Sus scrofa: one gene and its partner. The protein of the gene in region 2 purifies or fractionates together with the protein of the main gene of each other region. This does not show direct contact. Links are inferred from orthologs where the notes say so. Each region holds a gene or a part of one and is shown on either strand. Other genes may lie near its edges.

Region 1 (11,243 bases), on a different chromosome or scaffold from region 2:
GGGCTTAGCTGGGTGGTGCTCATGGAACTTAATGCGCCCCTAAGTTCACCCAACATTGTTTACAATCACCAATATATGGAAACAACCAAGTGCCCAACAACAAATGAATAAAGATGTTGTGTGTATATACATATGTTCACAGACACACCCACATACAGCGGAACATTATTCAGCCATAAAAAGATGAAATTTTGCCACTTACAACATGAATGGACTTTCAGGTTATTGTGCTAAGGGAAATAAGTCCTATGGAGAAAGACAGTATGATTTTCCTTATATGTGGAACTTAAAAACTAAAGCAAATAAAAACCAAACCAAACTAATCAAACAAATCAAACCAAACCTACAGAGAACAGAGCAGTAGTTACCAGAGGGGAAGGGAAAAATGGGTAAAGGGAATGAACAGTATGGTAAAGGATGGAAAATACATTTCTGGTGAGTAGCATGTTGTAGGGTATACAGCAGTAGAAATATAATGTTGTACACATGAAACCTGTTATAATCAGTATTAAATAAAATTTAAAAGTTACACAATTAGAAAGGAATATATTCATATAAGATGAACAAACTGGGATTACATTTGAACTATTTCAGTATCCCTTAAATGATGTTCTTCTGCTTCAAAGGCAATTATATACTTGATGGCAGTGCCTGTGATGTCTACTAGAAGCCACAGAGGTTAGTCTTCAGTTTCATCAGAGTACAAGTGTTTCGTGTGTATAATAATTTCCAGACTTTACATTCTTCTTAGGCTACTCTTATGAGAGAGAACAAATTAATTATCTTAGAGGTGAATATCAGTTAGATTGATTCTTTCTCAATGCTTCTTATAAAAATGATCTTCCAATTCTGAAGCCATTCTATTAATACGAAGGGAAATAAAAATGTGTACAGAAAGTGGGGTAAAAAACAAGGCCTCGCTATATGCATGGTACAGTGCTGAAAGTTATCTTTTTTTCTCTTTTTATAGCCATACTGCAGCACATGGAAGTTCCCGGGCTAGGGGTCAAATTGGAGCTGCAGCCAACCTATGCCGCAGGCAATGCCGGATCTTTAACCCATTGAATGAAGCCAGGGATTGAACCCACGTCTTCATGGATGCTAGACAGGTTATTAACCTCTGAGCTGCAATGGGATCTCCCCAAATTTTATCTTTTTAAAAAAATGTTGTTATCGATGATTTTGTTACCTTTAAAATTATCCTTTCAGGAGTCCCCTTCGTGGCTCAGTGGTTAATGGACCCGACTAGTATCCTTGAGGACATGGGTTTGATCCCTGGCCTTACTCAGTGGATTTAGGATCTGGCGTTGCTGTGAGCTGTGGTGTAGGTTGCAGATGTGGCTCAGATCTGGTATTGCTGTGGCTGTGATGTAAGCTGGCAGCTGTAGCTCCAATTAGACCCCTGGCCTGGGAACCTCCATATGCAGCAGGTGAGGCCCTAAAAAGCAAACAAGCAAACAAACAAAACCCCCTCTCCTTTCAAGGTAGGTATTAATACTGCCCATTTAGAGATGAAAAAACTGAAGTCCACTGAAAAGAATAATCATGTCACTAAAATAACCAGCTATGTAGGACTCAGTGTATGCTACTTTCTCAGAGGCATTATACTGTGACATTGTAACTGCTATAGAAATATCACCAGGGAGTTCCCATCCTGGCTCAGCTGAAGTGAATCCAGTCAGTATCCATGAGGATGTGGGTTAAGGATCTGGCGTTGCTGTGGCTGTGGTGTAGGCCAGCAGCTACGGCTGATTTGACCCCTAGCCTGGGAACCTCCATATGCTTTGGGTGTGGCCCTAGAAAAACCAAAAAAAAAAAAAAAAAAAAAAAAAAAAGAAAAGAAAGAAAAAAATAAATACCATCAATTTAGGAATTCTGTTGTGGTGCATTGGATTAAGGATCCGGCTGGCATTATCACTGCATTAGCTTGGGTTGCTTCTGTGGTGCAGGTTTGATCCCTGGCCTGGGAACTTTCACCTAGCCTAGCAACTTCCGTATGCCACAGGCATGGCCAAAAAGAAAAGAAGTATCAATATAAAAATAAAAAAAAGAATCATCAATATAAATTTCAACGGAGAAATGCAAAACAAATATAATGAGTAACTTTATCTTTCATACAAATATGAGAGGAAACAAACAAAAAGATATTTCTGCTGTGGAGGAAAAAGCCACTGGATCTGACAGTTGGGGTTGTCGATCTGTGAAACATGATTTGAAAGAGCTATGTAGGTTAGAGACAATGACTACATTATCTAGTTCTAGTTGAAATCATGGAGATAAACTCAATGTTCTTTCATAGGGTTTAAGTGTTAATATTTGAAAGCACTTAGTACAGAGTCAGACACAGAGAAGGGACTCCGTGTTTGGAGTTGTTGAATATCGGGTATGTATGAATTCTTAGCAAGGCCAAAGAAAGCTCTCACTGCGACTGAAGAGCAGCACCCTTGCCTGTTAACAAGCAGCATCTGCTGGTCAGTCATCCAATGATGCAGGACCTCTTTTTTTTTTTGGTCTTTTCTGTCTTTTCTAGGGCTGCATGCATGGCACATGGGGGTTCCCAGGCTAGGGGTCTAAATCAGAGCTGTAGCTGCTGGCCTGTGCCAGAGCCACAGTAACAAGGGATCCGAGCCGTGTCTTCAACCTACACCATAACTCACGGCAATGCTGGATCCTTAACCCACTGATCGACACCAGGGATTGAACCTGCAACCTCATGGTTAACCACTGAACCACAACGGGAACTCCAGGACCTCATATTTATAAGGGTCTGTCCTCGTCTACACTCTAAAAACTGCAGCGCATGATCAGTGGGTCCTCCCCAAAAGCACACTTATAAACAAGTAGGATGAAATAGGAGACGTCACTTTTTACAAGAATGTTTTTTATTTATACAAGGCATTATAATTTTCTCAATATCCTTCACTCATTTCTTGACAAACTTTTCACTGGATTCGTTTAACAAATGAACAGCATCAAACTATATTTCACTACCTGTCAACCTCCAAGCACTCAACTTAGAGACAAAAAGTGCTTGAAGCGCCAAATGGAAAGAAAATAAGGTTAACAGAGATACTTTAGAAGGGATGGCTTGGGGGAGGAATTGGATTCCTGAGCACCATCGGATTTCCCTTAACGTTCAGAGAGGTCTACAAAATCATTTTTAAAAGACATGAGATTAGAACTAGGGAATCAGAGGAACCCATAGTTTGAGATATTAAGCAGGTCATCAAAGTTCCTGGCAGAAGTGAAAAAAGGAGGGACAGAAAGTGGGAATGGGGAGCAGAGGAGAGGCAGAACAGAGACAGGAGAGAAGCACAGAGCAAGAACGTTGTACCTAGAAGAAAGAAAGTTTGGAATTCATCAGGAATTAGAAGAATGAAAAGCCATACCACAAATCCGGGAGCGGGACTACAAGAGAAAGCCTGGAGTTTTATACCTTCCAGGAGGTGACCACATACCCTAAAGCTGTACAATGGCAGGCAGTGAGGTGCATTCAAGACTACACCATCTGTTGTAAGACACATTGGCAATCTTGCTTGACTAATTCTACTCTACACTGCTGATGTAAATGCATTTGGTGCCCAGAAGGTAGCCACCCAAGCGGGTTACATGCCTACTGGCAATAGAGAAGGGCTCTAAGCCAAGTGGGTCTGTAAAAACCAAAATTCAGTTAATGTTACTGTCAAGTGAAGAGACAAAAGAACAGATTTCACTGTTCTACACCCTTTAGTGGTTTCCTAAAGCTAAGTCATTCTGATCACTTGTAAGAAGCTAGTATTGCCAAATACTGTACAAATAGGCTGTCTATAAGCAAAGCCCCAGGTTTTCCTGAGTCTTGACTGCTTCTGTGATTTGGAACGCAGTAGGTGGCATGGAAGCTTTGTTACTTTTTTGAGCCGTGGGTGAATGGGTGGGACCTGGGGATCAACAACTGCCTAACTATGTACGTAAGTAAACAAAAATGCTCCCAGTGACCAATTGGCTGTTCATAATCCCTCCTGCCAAAAAGTCATAACCTTCAGGCTCATGAAGCAAAACAAGATTCTGCTACTCAGATGCTCTGAATCTGGGACACGCTGGTTTTGATGATAATTTTAATCAGTTTTTACTTCCATCTTCTCAGGCTCTTCTGCCCAAGACTACTCTGTCCAGCAGGAAAAAGCTGCACACAAACGTTTCAGAGCTGTACCTTCCAAGGCGCCAGTCTCCCCATCCTCTTCAGTTGTCCACGTCCTCCTCTTCATTCTGTTCTTCTTCCTCCAGCCTTTCCTCATCTTCGTCGTTGTCCTCATCCCTGCTCTTGTCTTGCTCTTCTGAATCTGTTTTTTTGTCTTTGTCCTTCTTCTTTTGCTCTGAAGCTTCCTTCTTACCTTTCTGCTCCCTTCTATAAGCTGTAAGGATGAAGGAGGGAGTTGGGAGACAAGGCTGAACCAAACAGACTGCAGCCACTAATACCACTGCATAACTGGAAACACTGAGGCACAGAAGGAAAAATAACCTGCCCAGCATCACAAAACTGATATGAGGTAGTGCCATTTGAATCTCACCCAATACTTGCTTACTGGACCTAAAGGGACTCAAGCTAATGAAGACTTAGGGCCAAGTGAGCAGGTCATACAGGATGAACATCTACTTGGTTGAGTAAACGAAGAGGTCGTTACCTTCCAGAGCTTCTTTTAAGGGAGTAACGAACCGCTGAAACTCCATCTCCTCCATGGCTGAGAGAACATCGCTGGCATTCAGCGTCTTGCGTTTCCCTTTCATCGCGAAGTTGTTGGCGCTGAACAAGAAGATTAAGGGCTGTCAGAATCCTTCTTGGCCCGTATGCAGTGAGTGGGAAAAGGACGACCCAGAGGTGGAATGGAAATGCCCAAGTCTAAGATACATGGATTTTGGTGACACAGTAAGTCCCTCCCTTCCCTGTACAAAAGGGTAAGGCAAAGTTACTCTGTTTTATTTTGTTCCACAGCTTGCAATACCTGGATGAAGACTCTGAACCTCCCTCCACTGGGGAAGATCATAATTATTGGGGTTTGCGGGTTCTAGGCCGCGAACTCCGAACCAGGGGTGGGGGGGGTGTCTGCGTCTCCCTTAAGCCTCAGCCCCCAGCTAAGCTCTGGTTAGCTCTGCCCGCCTCACCAGGATGTGGCGTACAACACGAAGACGCTGGCGGCGCGGGAGATGGCGCTCCGGGCCTCCTTGGAGATGTTGACACCTTCCGGGAGCTGTGACAAGAGAGGGGGTGAGCAAAGCTACTGCCCCAGGACCTCTTTACCCTTGCCTGCTCGTCCGCCCCTGGCCCATCCGCCAGCCGGAGATGCTCACCGCCTCCTTGATGATCCTGGTGATGACGGCATTGGGCAGGTTTAGGTCCTCGGGCCTCTCCGCCATTGCCACGGCCGGAGCCGGCCTCCTCTTCAGGCCGCTACAGCGTCCGGACTTCCCGCGTCGCCACCGTCTGACCCAACGAGGCTTCCGTTCCGCCCCGTTTTGCCCACACCGTGTCCCACAGTGCCCCGCGCGCCATATCCTCCCTCCTCCCCCAGCCCCGCCTCCGACTGCAGTCGTCTGTTCATCTGAACTTTCCACGCCGCTAGTTTTAGCCCTAGGGGTTTCTATCAGGCCACAACGGCACCTGGCGCCCCTTCCCAAGCTCGCTTCCCTGCTTCACGCCACCACCTCGTCTGGAACTTGCTTAGCAAATTAAGTATGGCCTTCTGGGGCTTCCGTCCCTTTCCCATAGTGCTCTGCGCCGCTGCCTGGCAACGGTGCTGTCGGAGGCTGGCTTGGGAGACGAAGGCGTGGACTGAGCCGGCGGGGCGGGTCCCTTCGGAAGAGAGGCGGGACCTGGCGCTTGGCCCCGCTGCTGTCTTCACCGCGGGTTGAGGAGCAGCGTCTTCCTTGTAGGCTTCGGCTTCCTAGCCGCTTGGCCTCTGCTTTGGCTCCGCGGAAGCGCGGCCCTCCTTGGCCGGATTCTCCCACTTCCCTCTTCTGGAAGCAGGGAATCTTTATTGAACTCTCCAGGCCCTGATATCCCCTCTTAAATCTTTTCACCGCTCTCAACTTTGTAATAATGGTATTAAGGATAAGTGTTAACCTAAAATTTTTAATGCAGACTACTTTGTCAGTACAGTGTAGGGCTGGCAACAAAAAGATGGGCATGATTAGACCTTGGGGTTCACTTCGAGCTGGTCAGGTAACAAAAGGTCCATAAGCAGCCGGTTTTAAGAATAACATTCGCATTCAAAAACAAACCCTGTTAAACTTGTATTTATGTTTTAGTTCATTGACTTGATCATCGTTCATCTTTCCTAGTCAAAAGCATCAGCATGGTTTTACAATGGTCCCCCCCCCCCCCCCCGAGGGAGCGGTGGGGCGACCACTGCATATGGAAGTTCTCAGGCCAGGGATGGAACCTGCACCACAGCAGTGACTCAGGTGGGAGGTACCCTTAACACTCTGCGCCACAAGAGAAATACTGCATTGGCTTTTTAAGTTGTATCATTTTCATATTACGTAGTAGAAACTCTCCTCACTCCCACTGAACAGTTGTTTTCCTTGAAACCTGCTGCCTCAGGTCATGCTTAGTTTTCCTGTTTTTGATAGAAACATGAGTACAGAGAACTATTTCCCTATTATGAGAAAAACAACAGCAAATGCAGTGATAAATGGCAACTGAAACTCTTCTCTTAGAGAATATGGGGTTTGGTGGGGGAGGGCTCCACTTGACTAGAATACACATGGTTTAAAGATGTCAGGAGGTACACAGCTCCAGCCAGTGGCTGTCTAGTTGGAATTGGACCCCCCTTTGAGAGAACCCAGAAATCTGAACATTATGGGCTATTTCCATCTTTAAATAATGGCTCAAAGTGCAGGCCATACAAAACAAGTTATATGCCAGGTGCAATCCCAGGCCAGTAGTTTGCTATCTTTGGCTTATATTATAAACTCTTTAGAACTGGGACTTTTTTTGGTCATTATTGTTCTCTATGCCCATAACAGGTCCCTTCCCATATTTGGTGGTCAATAAATGTGTTGAGTAAAAGAAAGAGGAAATAGACACTTAAAAGTTTATTGCAGATAGGTGGTAGTGATTGTCTAAACATTTCTTTTTTTTTTTTTTTTGTCTTTTGTCTTTTTGTTGTTGTTGTTGTTGCTATTTCTTGGGCCGCTCCCGCGGCATATGGAGGTTCCCAGGCTAGGGGTTGAATCGGAGCTGTAGCCACCGGCCTACGCCAGAGCCACAGCAACGCAGGATCCGAGCCGAGTCTGCAACCTACACCACAGCTCACGGCAACGCCGGATCGTTAACCCACTGAGCAAGGGCAGGGACCGAACCCGCAACCTCATGGTTCCTAGTCGGATTCGTTAACCACTGCGCCACGACGGGAACTCCTTTCTTTTTTTTTTAGGATGACACCAGAGGCATATGGAGATTCCCAGGCTAGGGGTCCAGTCAGAGCTGTAGCTGCTGCCCTACACCACAGCTCACGGCAATGCAGATCCTTAACCCAGAGATCGAACCTGCAGCCTCATGGTTCCTAGTCGGATTCGTTTCCACTGTGCCATGATGGGAACTCCAGATTGTCTAAACATTTCTAAAGAGAGAAAGATGGTAACATTTATTGACCACCTGCTGTATATCATACGTAAAAGTACATTATCTCATTTAATGTTTCCACAGTCCTACTTAGGGATATCCCCTCCCCTACTTTATATGAGAAAACAGGCTAAGGAAGGTGAAGTCACTTGTCACTTGCCCAAGACCATACAACTAGTCAATGAAAAGCCAGTGGCCTCTGATTCACCTGTGGGTTGATTGATTTGCTGTTGAAGCAGACCCATTCCTTTCTGCTGGGTGTTTTAGCTACCTGTATGAAAACTGGAGCATACTGAAAAATAAAGTGTATCTTCCGAAGGTTTGAGCCATCTAATACACTTCTGTGACTCAGCCGTCTCTCGTTATCTGCAGATGATCCGTTTCAGGAGCCCCTGTGTGTATCAAAAACCGTGGATGATCAAGTCTCATGTACCTTAGTTGTAATTTGATAAAGCTTTTTGGAGAGGGTGGCATCTTCTTCTTAATGATTAATGATGGGAAAAAGGAAAGGATGCCAGACCTTTTGATATACATTAACTAATTTTTGTGATGACCCTGTGAAATGGGCTTATCCTCATTTTGCAGATGAGGAAATCGAAGCTCAGATTGGTTAAATCTCAGGTCACTCAGCTGCTAATTCAATGGCCAATTAGGAGACCTTCTGAAGTCAGTCTGCACCCAAACTCTTGTCACTCTGCTAATCCATGCTGAGATTTTTTTCATACTTGCTTATTATCCACTTCCTAACTATCCTTTGGCTACCATTTATCTATATGGTTCAGAGGAAATATTTTATGTTTTGAGTCTAAATATTTGGTCTGCATGACTGATATATAATACTCCCTAATTATCTGGTGGTTGTTTCTCCAGGGGGCTGGAAAGCTGCAAGATTGGCTTTTGTCCTAAACCATTTGTGGCTATGAACTTGCCAGATGAAAGCCAGTGGGATGAAACTACGTGTCACCTGGCTGTTTGTCAGCATCCGCAATGCTGGGCAGCTATCCGCCGGATTGAGAGGGGCCACCCTCGAATTCTAAGCTCCTCCTGCAAACCACCTCTGAATGTTGAAGGTGAATTAGCCAGCCCTGTCTCCTTCTTTACAAGATCCTCGGATTATTTCTTTTTGGCTCCCTTTTGATATGTTGTGTGTTTTCTTCTACTCTGGTCTTTCAGAAAGACTCCCAATGCTCACTGTTGTAAACCTCACCGATTCCTGCTTCGAGGCCAAGAGGCTTGCTCACCGTCATTTGTCAAAATTTGCGTTCACCAAGGCGCGTCCTTTATTGTCCCAAGGTTCAAAGTTTGACTTGAAATTTCAAGGCAGGTAAACTATCATGGAATCTTCTTTAAAGGGCTTACTACCTCAAAATTCCTGATTGACATCCTTTGCCCATATAGTAGACTTTGGGAAAGCTAGATTAAGCGTGACATCAGTTCAGTTAAAGGAGTGATGAATAGGCAGTGGGAAACAAAGAAGCCTTATTTGCAGTGTAGGAGTTGGTGAAAATGGGGGAGGTGTTTCAGTTTTCTAGGGTCACCATAACAAAGTACTAGAGTTGTTATAGACTGTGTGCCTTAACAACAAATTAATTTTCTCCCAGTTCTAGAAGCTAGAAGTCCAATTAAGGTGTTGGCAGAGGTGTTTTCTTCTGAGCCCTCTCTCCTTGCCTTCTTAGTGGCCCTCTTCTCCCTGTGTCTTAACACTGTCGTCCCTTTGTGTGTATCCGTGTCTGAATGTCTTCTTCTTGCAAGCACACAAGTCATATTGGACTAGAGCCCACCTATGTGACCTCATTTTACCCTCATTGTCTCCTTGAAGACCCTATCTCCAAATACAAATTCAGAGTTAAGAGGGAGTTAGGACTTCAACATAAGAATTTTGGGGAACCCAATTCAGCCCATAACAGAGAGTGTCTCACCAGCTTCTGTAGATCTTTAGAAAACTGTCCATATATGCTGCATTTCTTTTTGTTGTTGTTGTTTTGTTTTTCAGGGCTGTACCCGAGGCACATGGAGGTTCCCAGGCTGGGGGTCAAATTGGAGCTACAGCTGCTGGCCTACAGCACAGCCACAGCAACAGCAATGCAGGATTTGAGCTGTGTCTGCAACCTACACCACAGCTCATGGCGATGCCAGATCCTTAATCCACTGAGCGAGACCAGGGATCCAACCAGCAACCTCATGCTTCCCAGTTGGATTTGTTTCCTCTGTACCAAGACGGGAACTCCTGCATTTCTTTTTTTGCTTGTTTGTTTGTATGTTTTTTTTTTAGGGCCACACCTGCAGCATATGGAAGTTCCTAGGCTAGGTGTCTATTGGAGCTACAGGTGCCGGCCTACACCACAGTTCACGGCAATGCTGGATCCTTAACCCACTGAGCAAGGCCAGCGATTGAACCTGCATCCTCATGGATGCTAGCTGGGTTCGTAACCCTCTGAGCCACAGTGGGAATTCCTATGCTGCATTTCTTACCTTTAATTTTTAGGTGTGAAATCATTTGTAAGCTCTCAAAGGTAGAAGCGATGGTTTCCCGAATTGCCTCTAGAGTCTACGCATCCAGTTACTGCTTACTGATTTGGAAGCTAAGGGACAGGTGTCTATGGAAAACTTAGACTTAAAATTCAAAGACCCTGTTGCCTGGAATCAAAGTGCTAGTGGGGACCATTACAGTGGTTTCTTGTCTCCTGTTTGATTTAAGTAGCCCTTGATGATTTGTTAGGCTAAAGGTGGAATAGGAAATGGTAGGACCACTTTCTGGTTTTCTGGGATTTGAATCCTGAAAAAATAGTGGCTTCTTGCAGTCAGGGCCTGTCAAGGCAGAATGTGACATTTCGTTTAGTCGTTCACTGAATTTGCAAGTATATTTTAGTTGGGGCCACTTTGCTGCATGCTGGGAATACAGTGGTAAAAAAGATACAGTCTTTACCTTCAAGGGGCTTTCAGGAAAACAAATAACCATTTAGGGTGATGTGTGTGGCGAGAGGAGTGCTCCCTTGGTCTGTGGAAGCACACAGGAAGGGCTCCTAGGCCAGGGCACTGTCTTCTGTACAGGTGGCATCTGTGTCTAGACCTGAAATTGAACATTCTAGTCACGTAGGGCTTGCGGGTGGGAAGACAGGAAGAGAGTTCTAGACTACAGAAACAGCACATGCAAAGGCCTAGAGGCAAGAGGAGATTCTTTAGATATTGTGTCTAGAACATAGAACAGGAATGGTCAGAGGTGAGGCTGGGGGGCTGGAGTGAAAAGCAGGGGCCTGTATCACAGATGACTTCATAAATCAGGCCAAGGAGTTGGGTCTTTGTCTTACACCTCTTTGCAATATTCATTCGTTTATACATTTAACCTATTTTTTTAAAAAAATAAAATAGCAAGTCATATGAAAATGTAAGAGATTGACACTTTTATTGTGGTAAGTATATATAACAGAAAATTTATCATTTTAACCATTTTTAAGTATATAGTTCAGTAGCATTAAGTACATTCACAGCATTGTGCAACCATCGCCACTATCCATTTCTAGAACTTTTTCATCATCTGAAACAGAAATCCTGTGCCCATTAAACAATAACTCCCCATTCCCTTCTCCCTCTGGTCCCTGGTAATCTCTGTTCTATTGTTTTTGTCTGAATTTGCCTCATTTGC
Region 2 (11,205 bases):
TTTTGTTTTATATTCTAATTAGAACATTTAAACTTTTTATGTAATTAAATGTGATCATTTATATTTAAAATAATAAAATAGTACAGCTTCAAACTTTTGGTTTATGTTAATTTTCTCCAACTGGAAAGAAAATAGTTTAAAAACCATATACATAAATATTTTGTAGAAGCAGTTTCTCGGGGCTATTAATTGCTAACCTTTGATATTTTAAAAAAGTTGTAATTTCATGAAAATTGACATAAATCGGTTACACTAAAATTATCTAGGGGGTTATCTCATGCATCCTATCCTTTATAAAGACAAACTTGTAAATATAATAGATATGTACATAGAATACACCTCCTTCCCTGTAAGAAATCAAGAAATAAAATAATAAAAACATAAATCTACCCATTAGTAACAAAGCCAAGGGTATTTCAGTTTTAACACAGACTTTGCAGAAGTCAAAATACAAATCTGTTTGTGAAAACCAAAGAAATTATGTCCATTTGATCATGGCTTTTGACACCCTGTTCCTGAAAGGTTAGGTCATAAATCAACGGAAGAACGTGATCTTAAACATAAGAAAAACATGGGTCCAGTAGTTAATGAATGTTTTTCAACATTTACTAAAATTTCTACTTTGAGGAAATCCAAACTAAGATTATGGAATTTGACCGGGGTCAGGGTTCTCCTTTGGAGCACTGATCAGATATTATTCAGTGATTCTTGTTCTGTTGTTGTTGTTGTTTTCGGAATTCTCACTTCTCTTTCATCACTGAGTTTCAGCTTTACAAATAACCTTAGAACAATTCAGGTAATTAAAGTTTTGAGGGAAAACATTTCTTTCTTGTATGTGAAGGACTATTACATGCGTCATTTTTCTGTGAATAACTGTATTGGGTGGATTAACAAACACTGCCACAGAAATGCACAAAAGAATTTTTAAAGCCATAGTTCATTGCATATATATTTACAAAAATCCATAAATAAACATGTATTTGTCCTTTACTAGGAGAAGTTAATAGGTGTTTGAACATTAAGGCAGTGATGATTCTAAAACATAATGAAATTCTAAAGTTAAGGCTTTATGCTTTTTCTTTCCCCCCTGTGTTTTTAGGGCTGCACCTGCAGCATATGGAGGTTCCTGGTTAGGGGTTGAATCAGAGCTGTAGTTGCTGAACTACACCACAACTCATGGCAATGCCGGATCCTTAACCCACTGAGCAAGGCCGGGGATCGAACCTGCATCCTCATGGATGCTAGTCAGATTTGCTTCCGCTGAGCCAAGACAGGAACTCCTTTATTCTGTTTTTTGCTTTTTTATGCTCATTTTGAAACCCATACTTATAGGCAACTGTGACCAAAGCAAACTTTTATCTACCAGGTTGAGTTCACCTGCCCAGGATATGTTATTTGTCCACTACCAACAACTGTTCCACTATTCTTAATCCAAGTAACAGCCGTCTTGATTTACAGTATTTCATATGCATATATCATCTATGTGAGATGTTTTGAATATAATTTTGGATGGATGAGAACAGAAACTACTAAAATCCCCTCAATACCACACTTTCAAACTGTCATATATACTATAAATCCTATATTATTTTCAAAGCAACAAGTACGGAAAATTGGGTAGCAAAATCCATACCTTTATCATTCCTTGAAAAGCTAAATGAGGTCTAGTTTTCAAGTTTCAAAATTACGTCCCCTCATATACACAAGCACACATCTAATAATGTGGGATGTAAATTTCACTTATAGAAAATTCAAGTTTTAATATTAGAAAAACATTCTGCTCAGTGTTTTGCTTACCTTGCGGTAGAATACCATAAGATTTTAATCATATGCTAATTAAAATCCTAATCTTGAGCACTGCCATTAAAAAGATGTAGGTAATTACTCAATTGGCACTATCTTCCACAACGATTTTAGAATACCTACCTTCTAAAACTTTCCATTTGTCTATGTATATGTTTTCACAAATACACCTCTCATACAAGAAAAGCTAAAAGATGACCATGATATTCTAATGATTTCTTTATGGATCTTATCATCTGGTGGTCTAGATGCCATAAGAAGGCAGCACAAGGTCACCAAGATGCCCTGTCTTAAAGACCATGATCTTCTTCCTGACATTTTCATTACCAAAAATACCAACTCCAATTTTCACAGTGTTAGGTTATCCAACTGTCACTTAAACCAAGGAAGTTCAAGAACCAGGAGCTAAAAGCAAAAATACCATTCTGGGGCTGAACATCACAAGGCAATCCACTACCCGTCTCATGTACTTTATGCATTAGGAAAATGCTCTCACTCAGAGCCTGTCTCCTTTTATTTGATGTACAAGTCCAACAAGTTTGATAATATGGCTTCCCATTCTACAGAGAATGAAAGCAGTAGCAAATGACGTGGGGAAGACCACTAGAAGAAGACACACTGTCAACAGCAAGAAGGGATGGCATGAAAGCCCAGAACCAAACCTTAAGTTCCAATGCATTAACATCCCATCTCCTTGGTGTTCAGGAATAATTATTTCCCTCTCCTGGCTAGATGGCTTGTATTTTTACCATTGTTTTATTTTATTTTATTTTATTTTTTGTCTTTTAGGGCTGCACCAGCTGCATGTGGAGGTTCCCAGGCTAGAGGTCAAATCAGAGCTGTAGCCGCCAGCCTAAGCCACAGCCACAGCCACAGCAACGTGGGATCTGAGCCACGTCTGCGACCTACACCACAGCTCACTGAGTGAGGCCACGGACCGAACCAGCGTCCTCATGGATACTAGTGGGGTTCGTTAACCACTGAGCCACGACGGGAACTCCGTATTTTTACCATTGTTTTAAATGAAAGGTTTTGTTTCACTTATGTCCTTTATCATAAGCCAATTCTTTCTAATGAAAGTAGATGAAGTGTTTAAAAAGTGATAGTTAACAGCCTGACAATTGAGGGAGGAGACTGAACATTTTTGAAAAAAAATCAACGCAATATTGGAAGTGTCTGGAAGGTGTTTATTGGAGGGGAAACAACCTCCTAAATCTCAAATGCCTTTGTATGGGTGTCAGAGTACAATAACTGGGAGACACGAGGAAAAGGTTAATCTGTACATTTAGGACACCATTTAAGGAATCAAGGTAGTGTGCAGATATTTAGATCTGGAGTGGGGGGATGCACTGGGGGTTTGGGATGGAAATGCTATAAATTTGGTTGTAATGGTCATTGTACAACTATAAATGTAATTGAAGAATAAAAAATGCTATTAAAAATGATATTCATATTGGGGGAGAGACAAAATTACCTTATTTGAAGGAATAGAACAAATAAAAGCACTTAGGTAGATGTTGTGGTTCAATTCAGATTTTTAAGGAAAAATTCAAAATAAAAAAGACGTAGTGACTAAAGTAATAAGATTCAGATATCCAGAAAGTTCCTGCCAGGTGGCACCTCATTTCTCTATGCCGAGCCAACAAATGAGGTGCTACTAGTGCAATTTCTGATAAGGCCACAGAGTTCACGAATATATATGCATCAACTCAGTGATTATACACGTTTTTTATTGATTACCAGTCTCTTCACAATTCCAAAAATTCATATACCCTGGAAATTCGACAACATTTACTGCCATACAAAAGACGGCCAAGCACTTACATTCGCCCAGTCTAGGGAAGAAAAGGTATCCAGACACATTCCTGAATTTCCCAACATTGATTTATATCATCGATGCTTGGTATTTGGCCCAGCTTTAATCATCGATATTGTCTTACTGATCCAAGTACCACACAGATCTTAAAATGCGTATGTTTTCTATGGTTTTCACTTAGCGCTACAATTGTCTTTCTGTTTAGTCAACCTTGTAACAGTAAAATACGTCACTTTTAAGCAACTGCTGAATTTAAAATTACTCTAATTCACGGCCAAAGGTGTTAATTTCCCTCAAAAGCTTTTCATTTGGTCGTAGAGCATCATATAATGATTCAAACAAAGCCACTTGAGATCGCTAAAGCATAATTTTAATTACCTACCGTTTTTTTAATTGCGATATGTCTACTCGTAAACGGAAAAAAAATCCAGCCATAAACGATCCATTCCACAATTTTACTATACATCAAAATCCTTATGCCTCAACCTAATTTTTTATTCCAATATTTCAATAGCCTTTCATAGTTCTACTTGCACGTCTCAGTCCGTATGAAATACGCCTTATGGAGATAATACGTATTTTTTTGGATCTGGCTTTAATAGGTGTCACAGCGGTCCCCTTATGTACATTAGCAGCAATTCATCCTGGCGACGCTGGGTTTAAAAAAACAAAATTAAAAAAAAAAAAAAAACCTGCGTGTGTCCAGGAGCCAGCAGCGCCCACTAGGAAAAGGAGGCGGAAGCCTGGAAGGCTTGGGGCCGGATTGGGGGACCATTTGGGTGGCCCTGGAGTGAAACACTATACCGTCGGGGGCGGGGCAGGAGAGGGTGAGGGTGCACACGTTGGAAATTTTCCTAAGCCAGCGTCCAGGGTTCCTCAGTTTGGGATCTGGATTGGGGGGGGGCGGTGGTACGACGCTGAGAGCTCGTTTTCTCGGGGTGACACCCCCGCTTCAGCAGGCGGGGACCAAACGAACAAGGGATTTTTTTTCTCCCTGCCACCCCAAAGGCCGACATTGCCAATCAAAGAAACAAACGTCTCTCCTATCGTCCTCCTCCTCCCAACCACCGGCACCTGGAAATTCAAATTTTAAAAAATAAACCCCCAGTAAACCCCTTTTGCCTGAGTGTGGGATTGAAGGGCCCAGATTTCCCAGGCAGAGGCCGACGGGAAGGGGGGGGGAGAGGGAGCGAGCGAGAGGAGAGGGGGAGGCGGAGGCTTTTTCCTCCACGGCCCCATCCCCCACCTCGTTACCCCAGTTCCGGGAACGCCAAAGGGGCCGGGGGCTGTCGAGGGCTCCCCAGCCCCCAAGCCCCGAGATAACGGGCACCCGCCGCCCCGCGCCGCGCCCGCGCCCCAGCCCCGCCCCCGCCCTCCAGGCGGCGAGAAGCGAAGGGGGAGGGGAGCGAATGCTAGACTGTTCTGCCGCCCCCACCCCGCGCGCCCGCCGCCCCCAACCCTGCGGAGCTCCGCGGGTACCTGTCGGCGCCCAAAGGTCAGCGTTTGGGCCCCTCCGAGGGGCCCGGCGCAGGATTTGTCCACCGCACACACACCCCCTTCCTATTTACCTCCTTCTTCTTCTCGCCCTTCTCCGTGGCCACGGTGGCTTCGGTGGACGCGGTGGCCGCGGCGGCGGCTCCCTCCTCCTTGGAGATGGACGGCCCCGGCTGCTCGTCCTCTATGACCACGATCGTGGCGGTCGCATCAGAGGCTGCCACGGTGGCTGCCACTGCGGCGGTGTCCGGCTCCATGGCGTTGGAGCGGGAACGAAGAGGGGAACGAGCGAGGGGACGAGGGCTCCTGGGCGGCGGCAGTGGCTGCACTGGAAAGAGCTAGATGGAGCAGGGGTGGGGAATCACTCGCTTCCAACCCCTTCGCTCGGCCCCCCCTTCTTTAAATAACCCTCAACCCTGCCCCACTTCCGTCCACCCACCCTACGTCATGGCCTCCCCCCGTCACCCTCCCCCCTTCCTCCACCCCCCCTCAACGATCGCGAGACTCCCCCTCCCCACCCGGAGCCCAGGCCGTCCCCGCACGACCAACTGTTGCCTGAGCGTGGGGCGCGGACTGGGGTGGAGGCGGGAACCCACAGCCCGCGGCCCCCTAAAAAATCTCCTTCCCCACACGCCCCCAACAGTCAGCCCGAGCTCCCCTCGCAGATGTGTGCAGAAGGAATCCTCTTCCCCTTAAATCTGCTCTTTGTACCTCGGGGCGCTCTCCCCTTCTTGCACAAAGAACTTTTCCTCTGCTTATAACTGTACTGTAGAAGGTCTGTCTCACCATTTGCAAAGCCCAGATCCCCTCTGGGGACTGTCCTTTCCCAGATCCCCAAAGGGGGACTGGTGGTGCCCTTCCCACCTTTGTAAATTCTGCAGGAGAAGCATTCCTTGAATCTCTTGATTGCAGCTGCAAACATTCACTTACAAGGCAAAGTGTGACTCGGTTTTTACGTATATTCGCTCTATTTTCGGTTCTGAAACCTCTTGGATGGCCAATGTGCAGGAGCCCATCTTTTGCCTTCACCAATGAATTTTAAAAACTTCTGGGGGGCAAGGTCAATGTCCCCACAGAACCTGGGGCAACGCATGGTAGGTGCCCAACATCAGCAGTTGAACTGAATTATTGTGATTGTTTTGGTATTCTATTCCTACCCCGTTGTTTAGTAGTAATTCAACACCAGTAATATGCATAATCGTGGATATAAGAGCATTTCGTAAAGGGTATGCAAACGTCAGTTATTAAATATTATTGTTTCCATTTCTCCCCACCATTTATTTTGATCAATAACAGGAAGATTTACATCTCAGCCTTAAAATTTCAGTCATTGGGGACGAAAGGTAGCAAAACATACAGAAAACCAGTATACCGAACACCAATCACAAAACCTACAATTCTGAAAATGAAGCATCTATTTTCCAAAGTATGAAGAAAGCATGATTAATTTCCCTCAACACACCTTCCTAAGTTACCAATCTGAAATCAAGTGTGATTTCTGCAAATAGCAGGAAGGCACACATTTGTCCTCCAGATACATCCCTTTTTCCTGGGATACCCTAAATTTCTTTTTTGTTTTAAAGCTGTAATTCCTTAATATGCAAAAACCTTGTGACATTTTAGCTGTTATTGGCCATTTACACCTTAGTGTGAATGAGTGTGAGATCCTGTTCAGGGACTGGTTTTGAACAGGGAAAGATGCAAAGAGCAAGACACAGGTGATTGAAGGATTGTGCCACTGAGAGGAAAGGAGAGGCTGGTGTGGTGCTTAGCTTTGCCCTGATTTTACATCCATTATGTTCTCATTCACTTTAGATTTTGCCCCCGGTGTCCACGTTTCTCACCCTAGAGTACACATATGTACTCTCCAGCGGGTATGTGGAGTCTCAGTATTAAAAATAGTTCATATTTCTGAAGCATCAACTTTAAAACAAAAATGGGATGGAATAAAGTCATGTAACAGGTCATTCGAAACACGATTTTTAAAAAATGTACAGATGTATTTAACTGCAGTGTGAAGTGTCTCCAAATAAAAGCTGGAGACCTTGAGTTGGATATCCTACCCCTTCGCCACTAAGTTTTGTCAGTCTCCTGAGTCATTAAGCCTTGTCTGGTGGGAAAATTCACTGGAAGAGAAGGATGCTGCAATGCATGCATCCACCTGACTTGAGAAGGAATCTTGCAGATAAAGGCAATGGAAGAGTTCTTTATCGCCAAACTGCAGCTATAGGAGGATAGAATCCACCTTTCATTGTTTGGAGCTTCAAAGGAGAAAGGCTCAAGAAATATTTGTTGTGTATTGATGTGTGTGTTCCTGCTTGCAAGGGTACTTTATTTGATTGTATTTCTCATTGCCAGTGTGTGATATTTCAGCTACATGGTGGGCTAAATGCACTTTTGTGAAGGAATCTGGGAAACTCACATCCCTGCATAACACCTTTCCTGTGGGAACCTGTGTTCCAAGTTCCAAAAGAGAATTTAGAAATAAATGGGGGAAGGGGCAAAAAGCATTGAGACATTGGCAATTTTCCATGTATGTATAATGTGATCCTTCCTTTTCACAATGACAGGGCTGAAATTGCTACCAAGTATAAGTTTGGCTGGAAAGGTCAATGTTTGGTCCCTAGACCTTGCCACGGGATTCATGTAAATATTGCCCTTTGGCTTGTGGCAACAACTGCTATTTACAGAGCATGTGCTATCCTTATTTGCAAATCTACCTAAAATTCATGATCTGTAGACTTTGTTCTACAAGAGTCACGTCATTTCTGATCCTCATTTCTGATGCTACTCAACACCTTACTCTGTCTGCTGCTACTTTCCCCTGTTATGTCTTTTCATTTGAAACGGTCTTGAATTGCTCTGCTCCACTGAGATTGGAGAACAAAGCAAAATTTTATAGAGAACCTTGGGGCCCTATGTGGAAACCTCAGAACACATCCTTGTCTACGGAATAATGCATCTGTTTGGGCAGAGTGTGAACACTGTGGGAGTTACCCAGCCGTCATTTTCACATAGTCAAACTTGTTTCGTAGCTACCAGAATGCGTGTCCAGTGGTGGTTTCAAATACAATTACAAAGTGCATGAAGGCAGGGTCAAGGGCTTGGTGTTCCTTCTCTTATCCTATATCTGAAATTTATCCCTGAAGCCACAGTATGACAAAAAATGACATTGTGATCCTGCGGATCAATGTTCTTCAGAAGCTGGTACAAAGGATTCTGATGACAGTATCTTGCTTACCGCTCTAGTAACCATCCTGTTCATATCAATGAGCTCCCTCTCCATTCTTGTTAAGGACACTTATGATAGTGGCATTTTTAAAAATGAGCTACTTCCTCGGTGCACATTAAGCAAAAGGTAATGGTAACAGCCAGTATACATCTACCATTTCTTGAGCACCTACTATTGTAGCAGGAGCTGTGCTAGGTTTTTACATATGACATTGCAATTTGATGAAATTAAAATTATTATCCCTATTCTACATACCAGAAAACAGAGAGTTAGAGAGGCTAAATAACTCATCTAAGGTCCCACAGCTCGTGAGTGACAGAAGCCAGATTCAAATCCCAGACTGTCTGGCTCCAAACGTCATCTTTCCGCTTCACCTTTATTAAGTTCTCTGTTCTTCACAAGGATTCCTTCTTGACAGTAGAAATTATATTGAGAAAACGACTGAAAAATATTTCTGCCAATTGTCTCCATGATGTTCACTCTGGGTTTATTAGAAGAAACTGTCACTCTTAAGGCTCTGGTATTATATACAGCCAGATAATTTCTTTAGCTCCACACAGAAGTTGTTGTAAGGTGGAAGTTGGAGAATAACAGGGGATTCTTGCATGCACCCAAAGTAAATTCTTGGAACAGCAAAGGATTAAGGACAGTTAGAGTTCAGGGAGGGGGAAAACCTAACAAGTGTGTGGCAGAATATTGTATAGTACATTCATAAAAGGGATACGAAGCAGTCATTATGAATGATTATGTAAATATCTGATGACATGGAAATATGCTTCTCATGTATTGCTGAGTGAAAAAAAGGCGAGCAAGAAAACAGAGTGACCCCATTTTTGCTAAAAGAGAGAAATAATTTACATAAATAGATTTCCACAAAGGAAAAAGCCTGGAAGGTTCCACTCTAAATGTTAACAGTACTTACAGCAAGGTGGTAAGATCAAGAGTGACTTTTTTCTTATTTTTGCCTTTCTACTCCTTCTAATGTTCCTCCATGAAGGTGTTCATATTTATATAATAAATAAATAACATTTTCTATATATATATATATACATATAACTGAATCACTTTGCTGTACACTTGAACACAATATTGTAAATCAACTATACGTCAATAAAAATACAGAAAATATAAGATCTTTGCAGATGAATCAAAAAATATTGCTCAAAACTGAACAAGTAGAAATAATCTCTAACAGAAGGAAAAAGAGCTAGTAGACAGGGTGAGTCAAAAAAGGGAAAAGAACAATTTCATACTGAAGAAACAATGCAGTTATTTAATGTGGAATGCAGCGGAAGAAATATAAATTACTGTGCTGTTGGAGTTCCCGTCATGGCTCAGCGGTTAACGAATCTGACTAGGAACCATGAGGACGCAGGTTCAATCCCTGACCTTGCTCAGTGGGCTAAGGATCCGGGGTTGCTGTGACCTGTGGTGTAGGTTGCAGACACGGCTGGGATCCTGCGTTGCTGTGGCTGTGGTGTAGGCCAGCAGGTACAGCTCCGATTAGACCCCTTGCCTGGGAATCTCCATATGCCGAGGGTGTGCCCCCCCCCAAAAAAGCAAAATTATTGTGCTGTTTACAGTAATGTTACCTGGTTAAGGAACTGTTTTCTTTCTCTTATTTTTTTGACGTCGTCGTCGTTTTAAGTTGCATATAAAAGGATTTTTTTACTTTTAAAAGTTACCACACAAATCCCAGCTCAGGAAAAAGATATAGCCAGATTTTTTAAATACTTCCACCTTGAAATGCTCCACACCCATGCGTGCCCTAAAACAAACACATGCGAAATAATCTGAAATGGGTTTGCTAAAGGCAAATGACAAATATCGTTAGAGGCAGAATAGCACAATTTTTACCAGCTTGGGCTCTAGAGTCAGAAAGACTTGGAGTTTGAATTCTATCAAATTATTTAACCTCTCTAAGCCTCAAATTTGCAGCTGTAAAATGGACATAAGGATACCGAATGCAAAGTGGCTTTCTGAGGACTTAATGTACGAGTATACATGAAATCTTTAGCATGATCTTGGCATGTAATATGCACTCAAGGGATGGTAGTTAACAAAAAGAAAAAAAGAGCTTCAGATTGAGCCAAGGGAAAAAACAGGATATGAGAAAGTTAGTCCAGAAGTCAGCCCTATACTAAAGAGGGGTGAGGCAGAACAGCTGTTTGCAAAGTGATTTTCCCCGTTCTCTGTTACTATTTATTAGGGAGGGCGATTTGGGGCAATGACACTTCTTCGAGGGTAAGTTATAAAAAAGGCGGTAAATGAGGGAGAAGAGGATCAGGCCACTTTCCTACTTAGAATGTGACCTCCTTGAGGAAAGGGACCATATCCCTTTCATCCTTGCTTAAAGGATCTATGAAATGAGGTGGAGGGAAGGGGTCCAGGGGTTGGCTCCCTGGTGACATCGTGTCCTCCACCCTCCACAATACTCTTCAGGTATTACACTGCCTTCTGTGGTTTCCCCAACTTTTCCTCTCTTAATTTTGCTCTAGGTGTCCATTTGGGACATATTTTACTTTTTGTTGTTGTTGTTGTTGTTGTTATTATTTATTTATTTATTTATTTTGTCCTTTCTAGGGCTGCACCCACGGCATCTGAAGGTTCCCAGACCAGAGGTCGAATCGGAGCTGTAGCTGCGGGCCTACACCAGAGCCACAGCAACTCGGGATCCAAGCCGCGTCTGCAACCTCCACCACAGCTCACAGCAACACTGGATCCTTAACCCACTGAGCGAGGCCAGGGATTGAACACACAACCTCATGGTTCCTCATCGGCTTCGTTAACCACTGCGCCATGACGGGAACTCCCCATTTTGGACAGATTTTATGTGCATAATAATATATTTATGGAGCAC

The links.
Region 1: the proteins of SMARCA1 (region 2) and POLE3 purify together in Homo sapiens (affinity purification with mass spectrometry; 3 studies listed by BioGRID and IntAct, with this or other methods). This does not show direct contact. The link is inferred for Sus scrofa from reciprocal best matches to the Homo sapiens genes SMARCA1 and POLE3.

What each region holds. Positions count from the first base shown.
Region 1 is NC_010443.5:254,030,514-254,041,756, forward strand, and holds POLE3 (DNA polymerase epsilon subunit 3), read right to left. Parts: upstream 5,712-11,243; 5' UTR 5,392-5,711; coding exon 5,326-5,391; intron 5,226-5,325; coding exon 5,140-5,225; intron 4,781-5,139; coding exon 4,662-4,780; intron 4,392-4,661; coding exon 4,219-4,391; 3' UTR 2,865-4,218; downstream 1-2,864. UniProt on the Homo sapiens protein: Accessory component of the DNA polymerase epsilon complex. Participates in DNA repair and in chromosomal DNA replication.
Region 2 is NC_010461.5:106,110,351-106,121,555, forward strand, and holds the start of SMARCA1 (probable global transcription activator SNF2L1), read right to left. Parts: upstream 5,577-11,205; 5' UTR 5,371-5,576; coding exon 5,188-5,370; intron 1-5,187.